2 linked regions of the Diceros bicornis minor genome follow. The protein of the gene in region 1 purifies or fractionates together with the protein of each later gene. This does not show direct contact. Links are inferred from orthologs where the notes say so. Each region holds a gene or a part of one and is shown on either strand. Other genes may lie near its edges.

Evidence for each region.
Region 2: the proteins of HNRNPA0 (region 1) and DHX9 purify together in Homo sapiens (affinity purification with mass spectrometry; 3 studies listed by BioGRID and IntAct, with this or other methods). This does not show direct contact. The link is inferred for Diceros bicornis minor from reciprocal best matches to the Homo sapiens genes HNRNPA0 and DHX9.

The regions. Positions count from the first base shown.
Region 1 is NC_080740.1:56,394,989-56,402,057, reverse strand, and holds HNRNPA0 (heterogeneous nuclear ribonucleoprotein A0), read left to right. Parts: upstream 1-4,845; 5' UTR 4,846-4,934; coding exon 4,935-5,849; 3' UTR 5,850-6,207; downstream 6,208-7,069. UniProt on the Homo sapiens protein: mRNA-binding component of ribonucleosomes. Specifically binds AU-rich element (ARE)-containing mRNAs. Involved in post-transcriptional regulation of cytokines mRNAs.
Region 2 is NC_080743.1:84,571,524-84,579,647, reverse strand, and holds the start of DHX9 (ATP-dependent RNA helicase A), read left to right. Parts: upstream 1-4,969; 5' UTR 4,970-5,075; intron 5,076-7,768; 5' UTR 7,769-7,790; coding exon 7,791-7,901; intron 7,902-8,124. UniProt on the Homo sapiens protein: Multifunctional ATP-dependent nucleic acid helicase that unwinds DNA and RNA in a 3' to 5' direction and that plays important roles in many processes, such as DNA replication, transcriptional activation, post-transcriptional RNA regulation, mRNA translation and RNA-mediated gene silencing.

The sequences.
Region 1 (7,069 bases):
CATGCTGTACATTATATCCCCAGGACTTATTCATCTTATAACTAGAAGTTTGTACCTTTTGTCTGGTCACTTCTCCTAGACTTGGGAAGCTATCCTTTTTTCACATCAAGCCCTCCTCCTTTGATGTCCCCTCTCAAGTGAAGGAAACAAATATAAATCCCTTCTCAAAGCCTGGATTTTGCACCTGAGGCAAGGGAATACACAGGCAGTAGAACAAGATACAAGTAATATCTTCACAGATTAAATAGGTCTGTGTATTCTGCTGCCTCAGGAGCAACTTGTAAAACTAAGCCTCCATGTGCCTATTTTTTTTTTTTTTTTTACAAAAAGCATTTTATTGAGGGCATTTCTCTTAGATAGCCAAAGAGGGGAAGGGGAGAGAGGCAAAGGCCTCTGAGTGAAAAAGGGTGAGAGGAGCCCCAATCTACATTTTTGCCATTCTGTTCAAGTATGGGGTTCAAATTAAGTTCAGAATTAATTTGATTTGGTAAAATAAGCAATGTGACCTTTCACACATCATCATGATGGCATAAGATTCATACGCAAACACGTCATTATTGTTCCTTTACAATATCAATTTAATTGCTTCATAATATTCTTAGAGAGAATATTTAGTTCCTTTTTTATGTAATTGGTTAATTGGGAGCAATTAGGTAATTTCCAATTTTTTTCTAGTATAAACAGTATTGAAGTGAACATCCTTGTAGCTAAATCCTTACACAGATCCTTAATTATTTCCTTAGGATAAATTTCCAGAAGCATCATTTCTGGTTCAAAAGGATGGGTCAAATTTTAACTTTTTTTTTTTTTTTTTTTTTTTTTTTGTGAGGAGATCAGCCCTGAGCTAACATCCGCCAATCCTCCTCTTTTTTTTTGCTGAGGAAGATGGCCCTGGGCTAACATCTGTGCCCATCTTCCTCCACTTTATATGGGACGCCGCCACAGCATGGCTTACCAAGCAGTGCGTCGGTGCGCGCCCGGATCCGAACCAGCGAACCCCGGGCCGCCGCAGCGGAGCCCGCGCACTTAACCGTTTGCGCCACCGGGCCGGCCCCTCAAATTTTAACTTTTGATGTGAGTTTTTAAGAGTCCACTAGGAAGATTGTACTTCATCACAGCTGGCAGAGAGTGCCTTTTTGGAAGATACCTTGAGTACATAAAAATGGAATATGTATTAGTTTGCTAGGGCTGCCATAACAAAATACCACAGAATGGGTGGGTTAAACAACAGAAATTTATTTTCTCGAAGTTCTGGAGGCTGGAAGTCCAAGCTCCAGGTGCTGGCAGGGTTGGATTCTCCTGAGACCCTCTTTCCTTGGCTTGCAGACGGCCACCCACTTGCTGCCTCCTCACGTGGTCATCCTTCTGCGCATATGTGCCCTTGGCGTCTCTTCCACTTTTTATAAGGACACTAGTCATATTGGATTAAGGCCCCACCCTAATGGCCTCATTTTAAGTTAATCACCTCTTTAAAAACCTTATTTTTGGTTACAGTTACATTCAGAAGTACTGGGGGCTAGGGCTTCAACATATGAATTTGGGTGGGGGGCGGGTGAGGGGAGACACAATTCAGTCCATAACATAATCCTAACTGCAAAAAGACACTTTTGGGTGTAATAGAAAATTGACCAAAAAAAAACCCAGAGTTGCTGCTGATAGTTTTCCTTTTCTTCTTCAGTTCGTTTTTTCCCCCTTTCTCCTGTTCTCTTTCTGTCTTTTTCTTTTTCTAAGTATAATTTAGGTACGGTAAAATAAACCCTTTTTAATATGCAGTTCTATGAGTTGTGTAACCACCACATTCAATTAGGTTTTTGTAATCAAGCTTGTAGGAGGGATGGAAACCAAAAGTTGCCTAAATTTCAGTTACATTTTTACATTTCTTTGTTTTGGAAGGCTGAGACACCTGTAAGTAAGGTAAAGCCAAGAAACAAACTCAGGCAACGAAAAGTAGAATAGGAAAAAAAAAAGTTTTTCTCCCTGAATAGTCTGAGGGGTAGGAAATTGCATCATTTAAGTGTTTATATAACACTCTTATTCACTATCCCTACCTTTACTAATCTAATCTCCGAAAAGAATCTAACATTCCAATTATCTTGCATTTATCCTGGCTTCCTAAATGTCTCTCAAACATGCTTGTGTTGTCTCCCATCATCCCTACCCCTCTTCTATATGCATGGCTTATACTGGACATATGCCTCTATGAAGCTTTCTTGTCAATAGAAATTAATGGATCCCCAATTAGGTGGTGTGATTATTTTAAAACAACGTAGGAGAAAACTATTTCTTTAAAATTTAGTTTAGATGGGAAAATAAGTTATGGTCTTATTCTCTTCAGAAATTCATCTTTTACTGCTTTAACATTTTTTGGATGACTCTAAAGTAGATTTCTTAAGGTCTAATCTCTTATCCGAGCTATAGTCTTGGGCATCCCAGAAAACAGGGCCCCGTGAATATCCCAGTATCATCTTTAACAACCATGTTCATCATCTCCCCCTACTCCCTCCAAAATAGTTTCTTTTCTTAGATTTTCTAATTCTACCCTGCTGCAATTTTAGACTCCCAGATTTCAAACATTGGAGTGCTTTTATTTTCCTCATTCTTTGTCATCAATCAGTTAGCAAAAGCTGACATATCTGACTTGTTTGTAACAGGGTAAGAGCATCCTATTGACCTTCTCTTTTAATTTTTCAATGGCACTTATCACTATCTGACATGCTATATACCATTCTCATTTATTGTCTGCTTCTCCCCACTAGAACATAAGCTCCATGAGGGCAGAGATTTTTGTCTATTGTTTACTGCCATATTCCCAGCACCTGGTATAGTATTTGTTGGATAAATGGAGCACTTACTATGGCCAGCACAGTGCTCTGCGTTTACATGCAGAATCTCATTTAATTTTTACCACACTTGGAAGGTGTTTTATTGTTCTGACTTTCAGATAATAAAACTAAGTTTTAAAAAAGGTTAAGTGACTTGCTCAAAGTCACACAACTCGATGGTCACAGGGTTACTAAGTGGTAGAGCCAGACTCTAGTTTGTCCCCAAACCCTGTAGCCTATCTGTATACCTTCGGAATAATATTCAAACTCAATCTAAAATTCAAGATATTCCATATCAAAGACCCTTAACCTATCTTACCTCTTAATATTTTCTATCAAAAACCTCCTGCTCCCGTCAAACTGGTCCGCTCACTGCCCCTTGAAACTTCTGTAGCTTGTTTCCTCCTGATTTTGCTCAAACGCCCTATAGAAATCTTATTTAGCCTTTGACTCTGAGGTTCAGTGCAACTTCCACCTCTTTCACAAGTCATTCCTGACTACTTCAGGATACGAGGGATTCCTCTTCTTCAATATTTACCACATGGTTTTGGGGGTCACGTAATGTCTCATATTATGTGCCCCTCCATGTATCTTGCTTGGCGCACGAAGGTGCAATAAACGGAAGCCGTTATAATTCTCATGCAGTCCCGCCTGAGTGAGGGTCTGTAAGGCAGTTATCAGGGTGGATGATATTTGTATATAATGTTCATGTGTTTAACTTCCTCGGCTCCCAGTCTGATATAAAAGGCCTTTAAAAGGCAAACGTTTTAGTCGGGAAGGAAGCAACGCATAGATAACGTAAATTAAACATATAAAGTGGTGTGTTTACTGAGGTAAAATGAAAATGTCTGCTGTCGGAGTGCGCGAAGGGCGCTGAGAGGGGCGTCGCGGGAGGGCTTCGCGGACGGCCAAAGAGCGGCGGGCTCTCGCGCCACACCTCGGTGGGAAAGGCTGAGTCGGTTTTGGCACACGGTTGTCCTTCATAGTGCCTGGGGCTCGCTTTTGCGCAGGGCCACGTGCCAATGTTTTAGTTTAACTGCGCGTGGGGCCCACCGTAAACGGTTACTAACCGCCTTCCCCGACCACGGCTCTACCCTCCATCTTTGTGCGGACGGGAGGGGCGAGGACGCCAGGTGTAGCGGCCGGGTCCAAACGCGGCGGGTAAATCCAGGCCCCCATCCCCAACAGCCAAGTTTTCAAAAAGCCCGCGCGTGACGCCCCAGGCCGCATCCGTTGGGAACGGCCCCCAGCGCGCCTCCGCTCTTCCCTCCCCCGCCCCCAGCCCCGCACCAAGCCGCGCGCGGGAGGGGGCGTGGGGGTGGCATGCAAGCTCTGCACACAGGGGACGCCGGGGCCGGCGCGCACCGGGGAGCGCGCCCGTCCAGCCGCTGCCGAAAACGGAAGTGGGTGTGAGCGGATCGCGGTGATTGGCTGAACTGATATGTCTCTCAAGGGGCTGGCGCGAACGCCACTGCGGAGTTGGGCCATGGGGTATGGCATGGGGAGGGGGACAATCACTGGGAACAGCCGCGAGGCTGGCAGGAAATGAACCGCGGAGGTGTGCGGAGGGCAAGGAGAGTCCCCCGTCAGGGCACCCTGGGGAGCCCGGGAGTGAAAGCGGGGCGCTACAACCGGCGGCCGGAGCCGCGGAGGCCGAGGGCTTGAATAGACTGCGGAGGGCGGGGAGTCCGTGACCGAGAGCGGCGCTGCGGCGCGGTAGGCGGGACTAAGGAGAGCGAGGCGGGGATTGGCTGACAGCCCTGGGCTGCCGTACGTCGGCGGTGACGCACGCCTCGGGGAGGGTGCGCGCGCGTTCAGCGGCCTCTTTGTGTGGTGTCCAGATAGGGGAGCGGAGGTGGCGGTGGCGGTAGTGGCGGCCTTGGTTGTGTTCCAGTCTTCTCGGCTCGCCCTCTAGCCGGCACCTCTCCCCTTCCCTCCCCCTTCCTTCTTTCCTCCTTCCCTCCCCTTCCCTTCTTCCCTTCCCCGTCGGTGAGCGGCGGTGGCGGCTCCAGCAACGGCTGGGCCCAAGTTGTGAAGAGGCCTCAGGCAACGATAGCGGCGACGGCGAAACCTCGGAGCTCGCAGGGCGGGGGCAAGGCCCGGGCCTTGGAGATGGAGAATTCCCAGTTGTGTAAGCTGTTCATCGGCGGCCTCAACGTGCAGACGAGTGAGTCGGGCCTGCGCGGCCACTTTGAGGCCTTCGGGACTCTGACGGACTGCGTGGTGGTGGTGAACCCCCAGACCAAGCGCTCCCGTTGCTTCGGCTTCGTGACCTACTCCAATGTGGAGGAGGCCGACGCCGCCATGGCCGCCTCGCCCCACGCCGTGGACGGCAACACGGTGGAGCTGAAGCGGGCGGTGTCCCGGGAGGATTCGGCGCGGCCCGGTGCCCACGCCAAGGTTAAGAAGCTCTTTGTCGGGGGCCTTAAGGGAGACGTGGCCGAGGGCGACCTGATCGAGCACTTCTCGCAGTTCGGCACCGTGGAGAAAGCCGAGATCATTGCCGACAAGCAGTCCGGCAAGAAGCGCGGCTTCGGCTTCGTGTATTTTCAGAATCACGACGCGGCAGACAAGGCCGCGGTGGTCAAGTTCCACCCGATCCAGGGTCATCGCGTGGAGGTGAAGAAGGCCGTGCCCAAGGAGGATATCCACTCCGGAGGGGGCGGAGGCGGCTCCCGGTCCTCCCGGGGCGGCCGAGGCGGCCGGGGGCGCGGCGGTGGTCGAGACCAGAACGGCCTGTCGAAGGGCGGCGGCGGCTACAACAGCTACGGTGGTTACGGCGGCGGCGGCGGCGGCGGCTACAATGCCTACGGAGGCGGCGGCGGCGGGTCGTCCTACGGTGGAAGCGATTACGGTAACGGCTTCGGCGGCTTCGGCAGCTACAGCCAGCACCAGTCCTCCTACGGGCCCATGAAGAGTGGCGGCGGCGGCGGCGGCGGCGGCAGCAGCTGGGGCGGTCGCAGTAACAGTGGACCTTACAGAGGCGGCTATGGCGGTGGGGGTGGCTATGGAGGCAGCTCCTTCTAAAGAAAATTTAAAAATGTCTGGGAGCGGCTATAGGGGTAGCTCTTTTCGACAGCCCGACTAGGGTCAATTCCTAAGTCCCTTTCCCTCCCACCGCCTTCCCCATTTGCCCTTGGGGGAGCCTCTTTTGAGGCTGCTTACTCTTGGGGGTGTTGCCCTGTTTGCCTGCCACCTCTTGTCTCTCCCTCTGAAGATGGACTCGGCCCCACACACACATTTTTGTGTTACAGTCATTGATGGACTCTATTTTTTTATTATTACTTGGACCTTGGTCGTTTTTATACTAGCAAAACGTCTTGTTTTAATTTGTGTTTTTTTGGGGGGAGGGAGTGAACTTGCTGATTCTGTAGCAAAACCTGGGCGGGGGTTGGGGTGGGGGGGTAGTTTACTTTGTTGTAAGGACTTGATACCTGGCTACAGCGTTTTCTATGAAATCTACTTGGATCCCATGCCTGAAATTTGGAAGTATATGTACAAAAATCATTTTTACGTTTTATTTTTAATAAATCATTGTGTTTGACCGTACATGTCTAACATTTTTTTTCTAGGATCCATTCCGTACCGTTTAAGGGATATTAGTTGAAAATTTTTCGTGTTAATTCTCAATTCTTGATGTGTACTTAAGAGAAACTTTTAAAAGGTTTAAAAGGTCCTGTGGTTTTTTTTTTTTTGTTTGTTTCCCTGCTAGTGACTTGTTGAATTTTATCCCTTACAGGCAAAACTTTTGAAGTGGTGGATGTGGCTTTTTAAAATCTTTAAAGTTTCTGTGCATCCATCTCTTGTACTAAGCGATTTGCTTATCATCTTGACATAGTTGGTCACTACTTTCTATGAGAATTTACTTCAAAGTATGTACTGTGTAGTTCTAAAGAAATAGTTTGTGTTAAGCATGTGTTTTCATTCTTATAAACTGTTTAAAAATTTTCAGATGGCCTAGTTTCATCCCTCTTACTGGTTTGTCTGTAATGAATGGTTACAAATAAGGGTTATATTTTACCCTCAAACTAAATGCATTTTTGTATTTTCAGAGCAGGTTTAAACGTTTTTTTCCAGTGGCTGAACTGTTGTCCTCATGGAAATCCTTCCCCAACCTTTGTAGCACCATCTACTGGCAGAATGGCAGTATATCTGCAAAACAATTTGTCTTAAAAACTTGTTTAGGACAATTGCATCAGATTTAGAAGTTTTGCCATCAAAAATCTGTGCAGACTTTGTTTACATGT
Region 2 (8,124 bases), on another chromosome or scaffold:
TCTACTTGGCGTCTTGATCTCTTGGCCCAGGCAACTTGGGAATCAGCAAATGCTTCTGTCGGGGGAAGAGGGAGAATCTCCCTCTGCCCTTTCCCTTAAGGTTCTTCTGGCTGGCCAAATAATCAACAAGACAGGTTAGCAGGAGAAAATAATACCAAGTTTAATAACATGTATACATGGGAGAAAGCAGGGACACGCGTTTCTCAACACAATAGCAGAAATTCTCATCTTAAATACCATCTTCTTCTAAAGACAAAGGAGGATGTTGGGGGTGGGGGGTGTCAGTTACAGGAGATTACCACTAAAGCACTGTAAACAAAGGTAAGGTTATTATGCAGATTTAAGACCTCACCTTCCACATTGATAAGTTTCTAGAAATGAGGTCATCCCCCCTCTTCCCAAGACAGAAAGGGAGATACCTTTACAAATGGAGATTTCCCTTATAAATGTAAATGTTTGTCTGGCAACTCCTCGCAGGGCCATCCAGAGAATGTGGCCAGAGAGACAGAATTTCTGATAAGATGGGCTTGTTGGTGCCTTTCCTATTGTAACATCTATTTTACATTATATTACAGCCATCAGATGGAAGATCTGTTCCAGGAAGGAGCCACCATGTCAAATTCTTTAGGCAGTTAGTGGGGGAGGTCAAATGTCCTTCAGAGAAAACAATCAAGGTAAAGAGATATATTTCAGGGTGGCCAAATTTTGATCTCCCACACTTCCAAGTGAGAAGTGACACAAAATCTCTGCTGCTGCTGCTTCCTCAGGATTTTGGCCCCTCACATATATTAGCTTCCTTGATTGCTTTCTAATGCTTCAAACAGCTGTTTTCTTTTGATTTTTTTCTTCCTTCAGAGTGTTTGATAAAAGCTGCTCTATCACGGAAGTCTCTAAGAGCAATCTCCATGAGAAAAGGATCTCATCTGTCTTGTTTAGGGCTGTTTCCTCTAGAACAGTGCCTAGTACAAAAAAAATGCTTTCAATAAATATTTCTTTTAGTTAATGTAAGTAGGAATTAGACCATATGTCTGTCCTTGACATCCTTATCATTTACAATCTTCCACATCTATCTGAGGGAGTCTAGAATTGTTGAATCTCCTTTTTTAAATAATTCCTCAGTCCCATTCCTCTCCCCCTGTGATAGACATCCATTCTGATGTGTTTAATGTGATCTTTTACAATTTTTTATGCAAAATATGTATTGCTGTTTTTTATTTATATAAATGCTGTTATATAACTTATTTTGTTCCTTATTCTTTTCATTTATCCCTGTGCCTTTAAGGTTTGTGTATATCTAATTCATTTCTTCTGCTGCATTGGATTCCATGGTTAACATCCACTACATTTTATCTGTCTAGGGAGGAGCACCCAAATTGCTGCTCCCTGCCAACTCAAGCAATGCTGTAATAAACATATCTTACTGTTCTTTTTTGGACTTACATGAGAATTTCTTTGATATAGATCTCAATAATATATATATAGGTGTATATATATATCTCCAAGAGCAGACTTGTTTGATTTTACCCACCCAAACAATTTGTTTGACTAGTATCAGATTTCTCTCCAGAATGGCTGTACCAGTCTACTTTTTTACCAGCTGCGTGTGGTGAATCTTATATCCCCACATCACCACCAACATTTGACATTATTCACTTTTCTAATTTTTGCCAATCTAATGGGCATGTGGTGATATCTGACTGCTGTTTTAAATGCATTTCTCTTGTTACTAATGCTTTTGAGCACCTTGAATATGCTTAGTGACCTTTTGGTTTCCCTCTTCTGAAAATTGCTGCTTCGTGGCCTTTGCCCATTTTTCTGTGAGGATTGCTACATTTTTCTTGTTGATTTGAAGGAGTTCCTTGAATAGTTTAGAATAGTTAATCATCTCTTGACAACCTTAAACATCATGAACATCTTCCCCAACTCTTTCAACTATCTATTAACTTCATTCATGGTGTCTTTTATTGAGCTGATAGCCTTAATTTTTTTGTTTTTGTTTTTTTATCACGAAGATCAGCCCTGTGCTAACATCTGCCAATCCTCCTGTTTTTTTTGCTGAGGAAGACTGACCCTGGGCTAACATCCATGCCCATCTTCCTCCACTTTATATGGGACGCCGCCACAGCATGGCTTGCGAAGCCGTGCGTCGGTGCACGCCTGGGATCCGAACTGGTGAACCCTGGGCCACCGCAGCGGAGCGCACGCACTTAACGGCTTGTGCCACCAGGCCGGCCCCTAGCCTTAATTTTAATATAATCCATGCCTTTAGTTTTTTGCCTTACAGTTTGTACCTTTGAACTTTCCTTTAAGGGGATATTTTTTATAGATATTTCCCGTCATCCTGTCTGACATCCAGGTTCCGTGGATGCGCTGGTAAGAGCACCAGAAGAGTCTGGCCCACAGGATCACTTGGACTGGATACCTTCCTGGGATGCAAAGAGCACCCACCTTCTCTCTGTCTCTAAATTCTACCTTTCTCTCTACCCTGAAATTTCACTTCTTTTGTCTTTTTTATATCTTCTTAATGTAAACCTACCAATTTTAACCTAATTCATTCTGGGTTTGGAAGTGGAAAGAATGTAATGGTTCAAGAAGAATCCTGACTACGTGGACTTCAGCCTATTCAGCAGCGTAGGCAGCTTCCTAAGAGTCTGAAGTCAAGCCATCCAAGCTGTCAGGAAGTCTCTGTGAACCTTTTTTAAAAAGGAAAAGCTTCATCCCTGCCTGGGTACAACACTGTATATGCTAGTACAAGAGCAATGAAGGGCGCAAGTGTCATTGGTGTTCACAAGCCGCTGAGTGGGCTCAAACGTCACCAGCACTGGCCTCCTCAAGACATCATGACCTTGCTTACAGCCTAGTTCTGGCATCAGGTTTTCTTAATCCATTCCTCCTCTCCAACTCTTTGTGTATTTGAGAAACAGAGGAAGAGTGATGAGTCAAAACATCCTCTTCCATTTCTCATCATCCATTTCAACCATAAGTGTCGGTTATAACCATCCCATCCTCCTTGCCAGAAACTTGGCCTCAGTCTGTTGGATTGGCAGAAGTAAGAAATGATATGAGAAACTTTGCCAGTTTTTTTCCACATACAATCTACAGATTAAGATATATCTTTATAACCTTTATTTTCTACCAAACTCAGGAACTAAGTCATTTCTAGCCAAGAAGGTAAATGTGAAATGTTAAGTAACCCATTTGAAACAGACCTTTCATTATTTGATCTTTATGAGTGATCTGTAGCCTCAGTTCCACATTCTCAGGTAGGAAGAATGTTACTTATTTCCTTACCAAGCTTAAAAAAATTCCCACACTGCTCTGTCTTGCTTTACTAACCTCTGTAGTTTTCTAGATAGTCATATACTAGGAACAGTTAATAGTTGGATTGAAATCTGTCAACTTTCTGTATTTCTGGAGCATGTTTTGAAGCTTCATCTGCAAATGTTAAGGAAGATCTTAGAGGTGCTAGTTGCCTGGGGCAACCTACAAAGGTAATGCCAATTCCCTGGGGACTCTAGGTCTCAGGTGCAAGGCCTAAATTAAGAACCAAATCGGGCCAGCCTGGTGGCCCAAGCAGTTAAGTGCTCGCCCTCTGCTGTGGGGGGCCCGGGGTTCGCTGGTTTGGATCCCAGGTGTGCACCAACGCACCACCTGGCAAGCCATGCTGTGGCGGCCTCCCATATAAAGTGGAGGAAGATGGGCACGGATGTTAGCCCAGGGCCAGTCTTCCTCAGCAAAACAAAAAAGAGGAGGATTGGCAGATGTTAGCACAGGGCTGATCTTCCTAACACACAAAAAAGAACCAAATCAATAATAAAATTTTCCTTAATCCTTGGAAGGTAAAGATCCACCTCTGAATATTTTATTTACACTTAATATGCTGACACTTTTGCTGTGTTCATTACCTACTACAAAACACTTGCAATCCATTTATGCTAGTTGAGTGTCTCTTATCATAAATAACTCAGGTATCTGCTGCTTTGATTCCCCTGGTGGGTACGAAATAAATAAAAGATAAAGGTCTTTCCCTCAAATGATTTTACTCTTAATTGAAGAGAGCAAACACATAAAGAAAATAAAAGAATGGGTAAATTATAAACTGTTTGATTGTAAGAGCAACCAAGTTAAAGGGATTGATTACTGTGAGCAAGAGTTAAGAAAAAACGTAATGAAAGAGGTGAAAAATAAGGATGGATAGTATGATGGGCCCACATAATGGGACAACCAGTATCTGGAACAAACCCAACTTGAACTATTTTGTATTGTTGCCTTCATGGGAAGAACTAGAGTTAAAAAATTTAACAGTGACTGCTATATAATAGTTAAGGATACAAAGTATTCCAAAGACTCTGAAGACAAAAAGCTATCCAATTTAAGCAAAAACAGCCCTGCAGGTTTTACCCATTTATTAAACTAGTTTTTCCCAGGCACTTAGGATGTGCCAAGCACTGCGGTGAGTGGCCCGAGCTAGCCAGTCAGGGTTCCTGCCTTCACTGAGCTTATTTCTCTTTCAGGAGACTTTCGCGTTGGAGTATCTCAGTCACTACAATAACAATACCTATTGAACGCCAATCATGTGCCACGTCTTGCGCTAAGGCCCCTTCATATGCCGACTCATTTAATCATCTCAACAACCCTGTGAAGATAGCACCTAAGATTTCCAGTTCTGGCTTCAAAGGACCTCATCTACCAGAGGCCCCCTTAAGCGAAACATTTTGCAGCATCAAAATGCTACAGGTCCCCAACTCCCCAAAATGTTTAAAGGCAGCTAGCGCACTACAAGAAGAAGCGGGACTGGGGCGCGGCGGGCTAAGCTCCGCGGATCTCCCAGGCGACGGGACGCTACCCGCGGCGAGGTTGCTGCGGCCCCGCCCCTCCCTCCGGGCGCCCTCTGGCCCAGCCTCGCGCTCTGCGCATGCGTACGTGCACTGACCCCGCCCCTCTGGCGCCGCCGTCGGAGCCATTTCGCTGCCGCTTCCATGCAAGTTGCGGTGCGCGTGCTGGGTGTTGGTGAGGAAGGCCGGCGTCACGGGCGGTCGTGAGAGAGCTGTGTTCTCCGGCACCAGGAAGCGGAGGTCGGTAGGAGAAAGACGTCTTTGCCACCCGTTGGGGCGGCGTGGAGCCTCGCGGCTCTGCAGCCGGGCTTTGTTGCGGAGCGCGGGCGGCGGCGGCGGGTGGGGGAAGGGGGAGCCGCCCCGCCGGGTGCCCGGATTGCGGGTCGTGTGCTGCTCGCCGCGCCGCCGGGGGCCGCGTTGTGGCCCCCAGTCCTTCGCCCGGCGATTCCCAGTCCTGTCTCCGAAGCAGCCCGACCCTACTTCCTCCTCCGGCCAGCGCGCGGCGGTGGCGCTGTCGCCGTCGCCGCTGAGTGAAAGGGGGTGAATGGTCTGGTGGTGAGCCCGCCGTGACGCCGACGCGCCCAGAGCCCTTCATTCATTCATTCAGGCCGTAAATACTGGGCGCTGCCCCGCAGGCGCTGTGGGAAGAGCAGTGCACACGTTAGGCGGGGGCCCTGCCCTTCCCTCGCCGAGGTTGTGGTCGTGGTGGGGGTGGGGGCTGTAGGAGAACAAATGTCTGCAGGTTTCGGTGAAGAGAGAGGAATTACGGCGTGTAAAGGGAGAGAGCTACTTTAGGTGGGATGGAAAGGGAAGGCGTTTTGGAAGAGGTCGACCTTTGAGCTGGTATCTCGGCCTTGAGACCGAGAATGGCGTCAGCCGTAAAGATGCGGAGGAAAAGCTGAACTGCAGGGGCAGAAGGGATTAGTTAGCGCTTAAAGGCAGGGATTGGAAAGAAGCTGAAAGAAGGCCATGTGACTGGAGTGTGGTGAGGATTTAAGAGAAGAACGGATTTTAGGGTGGCTAGAGTAGAAACGGGGGCGTCATTTAGGACGTGATTGCAGTACTCCGGTGTGCAGTAGCGGTGGCAGGGGAGATGGAGAGAAGCGAATGGATTAGAGACATGTTTTGGAGGCAGAATTGCGTAGTAGATCAGGAGTCGGATTATCTGGTTTGGAATTCTGGGTCCCCCACTTAGAGCTCTGTCTTTTGGGCAAGTTATTCTTTGTCTCAGTTTACCTATCTGTAAAAAGGGGATGATAATAATGCGTATCTATACAGTTGTTGTAAGGGTTAAGTAAAATAGTTCATGTAGATGATCCTCAGGATTCTTACTGTCTGGTACACAGAAAGGGCTCCACAAGGGATAGCTATGGAGGATCTTGAAGGAGTGGATGACTCCCAGATTGTGACGTGAGTGGATGGTGGTGCCATTTAAGGAGATGGGAACACTGGGATTAGGGGGAGGAGGAAGAGGTTTGGGAGGAATTTTAAAATTCTGTTTTGACTGAGATGCCAAATTAGCATTCAACTGGGTATGTTAGTGCTGCAGTTGGATGAACTTGATTTTTTAAAAAATGTTTTTGCTGAGGAAGATAAGCCGTGAGCTAACATCTGTTGCCAGTCTTCCTTTTTTTGTTTTTGTTTTTGTTTTATTTTGGTGAAGAAGATTGGCCCTGAGCTAACATCTGTTGCCAGTCTTCCTCTTTTTGCTTGAGGAAGATTGTCCCTGAACTAACATCTGTGCCAGTCTTCCTCTGTTTTGTATATGGGACACTACCACAGTAGGTCCACGCCAGGGACCTGAACCACTGAACTATGCCATGGGCCGGCGCCTAGATAAACTTGATTTTGAAATTTGAAGAGAAAAGACTGAATTTTCAATATATATCAGTTTGGGCATCATTAGCATATACTTGATACTGAATATTACAGAGTTAGATGAAACTACCTAGGGAGGAAGGAATTAGATAGTGTAGTCCTTCATATTTCATGTTACTCATTCACCCTGAGGGCTTGTTTTTTGAATTAATTATTCAGGAGTGGAGTTTATAGATAGACATCTTCAGCTTTCCGTAGCTTTTCAGTTAATAGGATGTCCCCAGGATTAGCCTCTGGCTGCAGAATAAACTTATTAACAAGTTTATGCTAGGGTCCAGTTTGATGACATTAGACTTTGGTGCTAACAAAATACACTAAACATTAACAGAAGACCAAAGTTTAATGTTAGTAATGGGATTTCTTCTCACAGCAAACCAAATTCATAGCATATTTTCATTGGTTCTAAATTTGGTCTCAGGTATCTTGTAAATTAGACTCAGATTTTAGATTCATAGGCACCATGTCTTTTGGTATCTTATAAACTGGAGTAGAGGGAGAGTGCCAACTTGGCACTCTGAATTTGAATTTAGGCCTCCACAAGTGAGTGACTGGGAAAAGTTACTTAAACTTTCTATGCCCTAGTTTCTACCTCTGTAAAAGATGATGATAGTATCTACCATGTAATGTTGTCTTCCATCGTTGTGAGAATTAAGTGAATTAAGACACGTAAGATGCTTATTGTAAAAAAAAAAAAAAAAAAAATATGGGGGAGTACATTACGTCAAATATTTTTTAAGAAAAGATAAAAATCACTCATAGTCACCCAAAGATAACCATTTTGGGGCATATTTCTTTCCAGTCTTGATTTATGCATATATACTTGTTACATAGTTCAGATCTTACAGTTTTGTAGCCTGCTCCTTCTTGTAATGTGTCATGAACTTTCCAATCATGTCTTTAAAGTTTCCTCATAGGTGATTTTAATAGCAGCATGATAGAATATCCTGTACTTAACCTGGATTTTCAGTAAATCTCACTTATTGTTTATTTCCAGATTGGTAATTTCCAATATTTGCTCTTATAAATAATGCTGTTTTTAACTATTGTTTTCTTAGGTCTGAAGAAGATATTTGAAACATGGGTGATGTTAAAAATTTTCTGTATGCCTGGTGTGGCAAAAGGAAGATGACCCCATCCTATGAAATTAGAGCAGTGGGGAACAAAAACAGGCAGAAATTCATGTGTGAGGTACTAAAGAATACAGTTTACATTTATGTGATTTTTGAGGCTTATTTTGGTGTTAAAAGAACAGTGTTTTCTATTTGGAAATGTTAATGCGTTGCATGTTGGAGAATGTTCTTTATTGTGACTTGCCTGCTATTCTGGTTCATTATAAATCATTTTCATGTGAGCATTACTTTTAGAACAGTCTGAGAGGTGGATTATTCTAATTAGAACATGCATCTTCCTC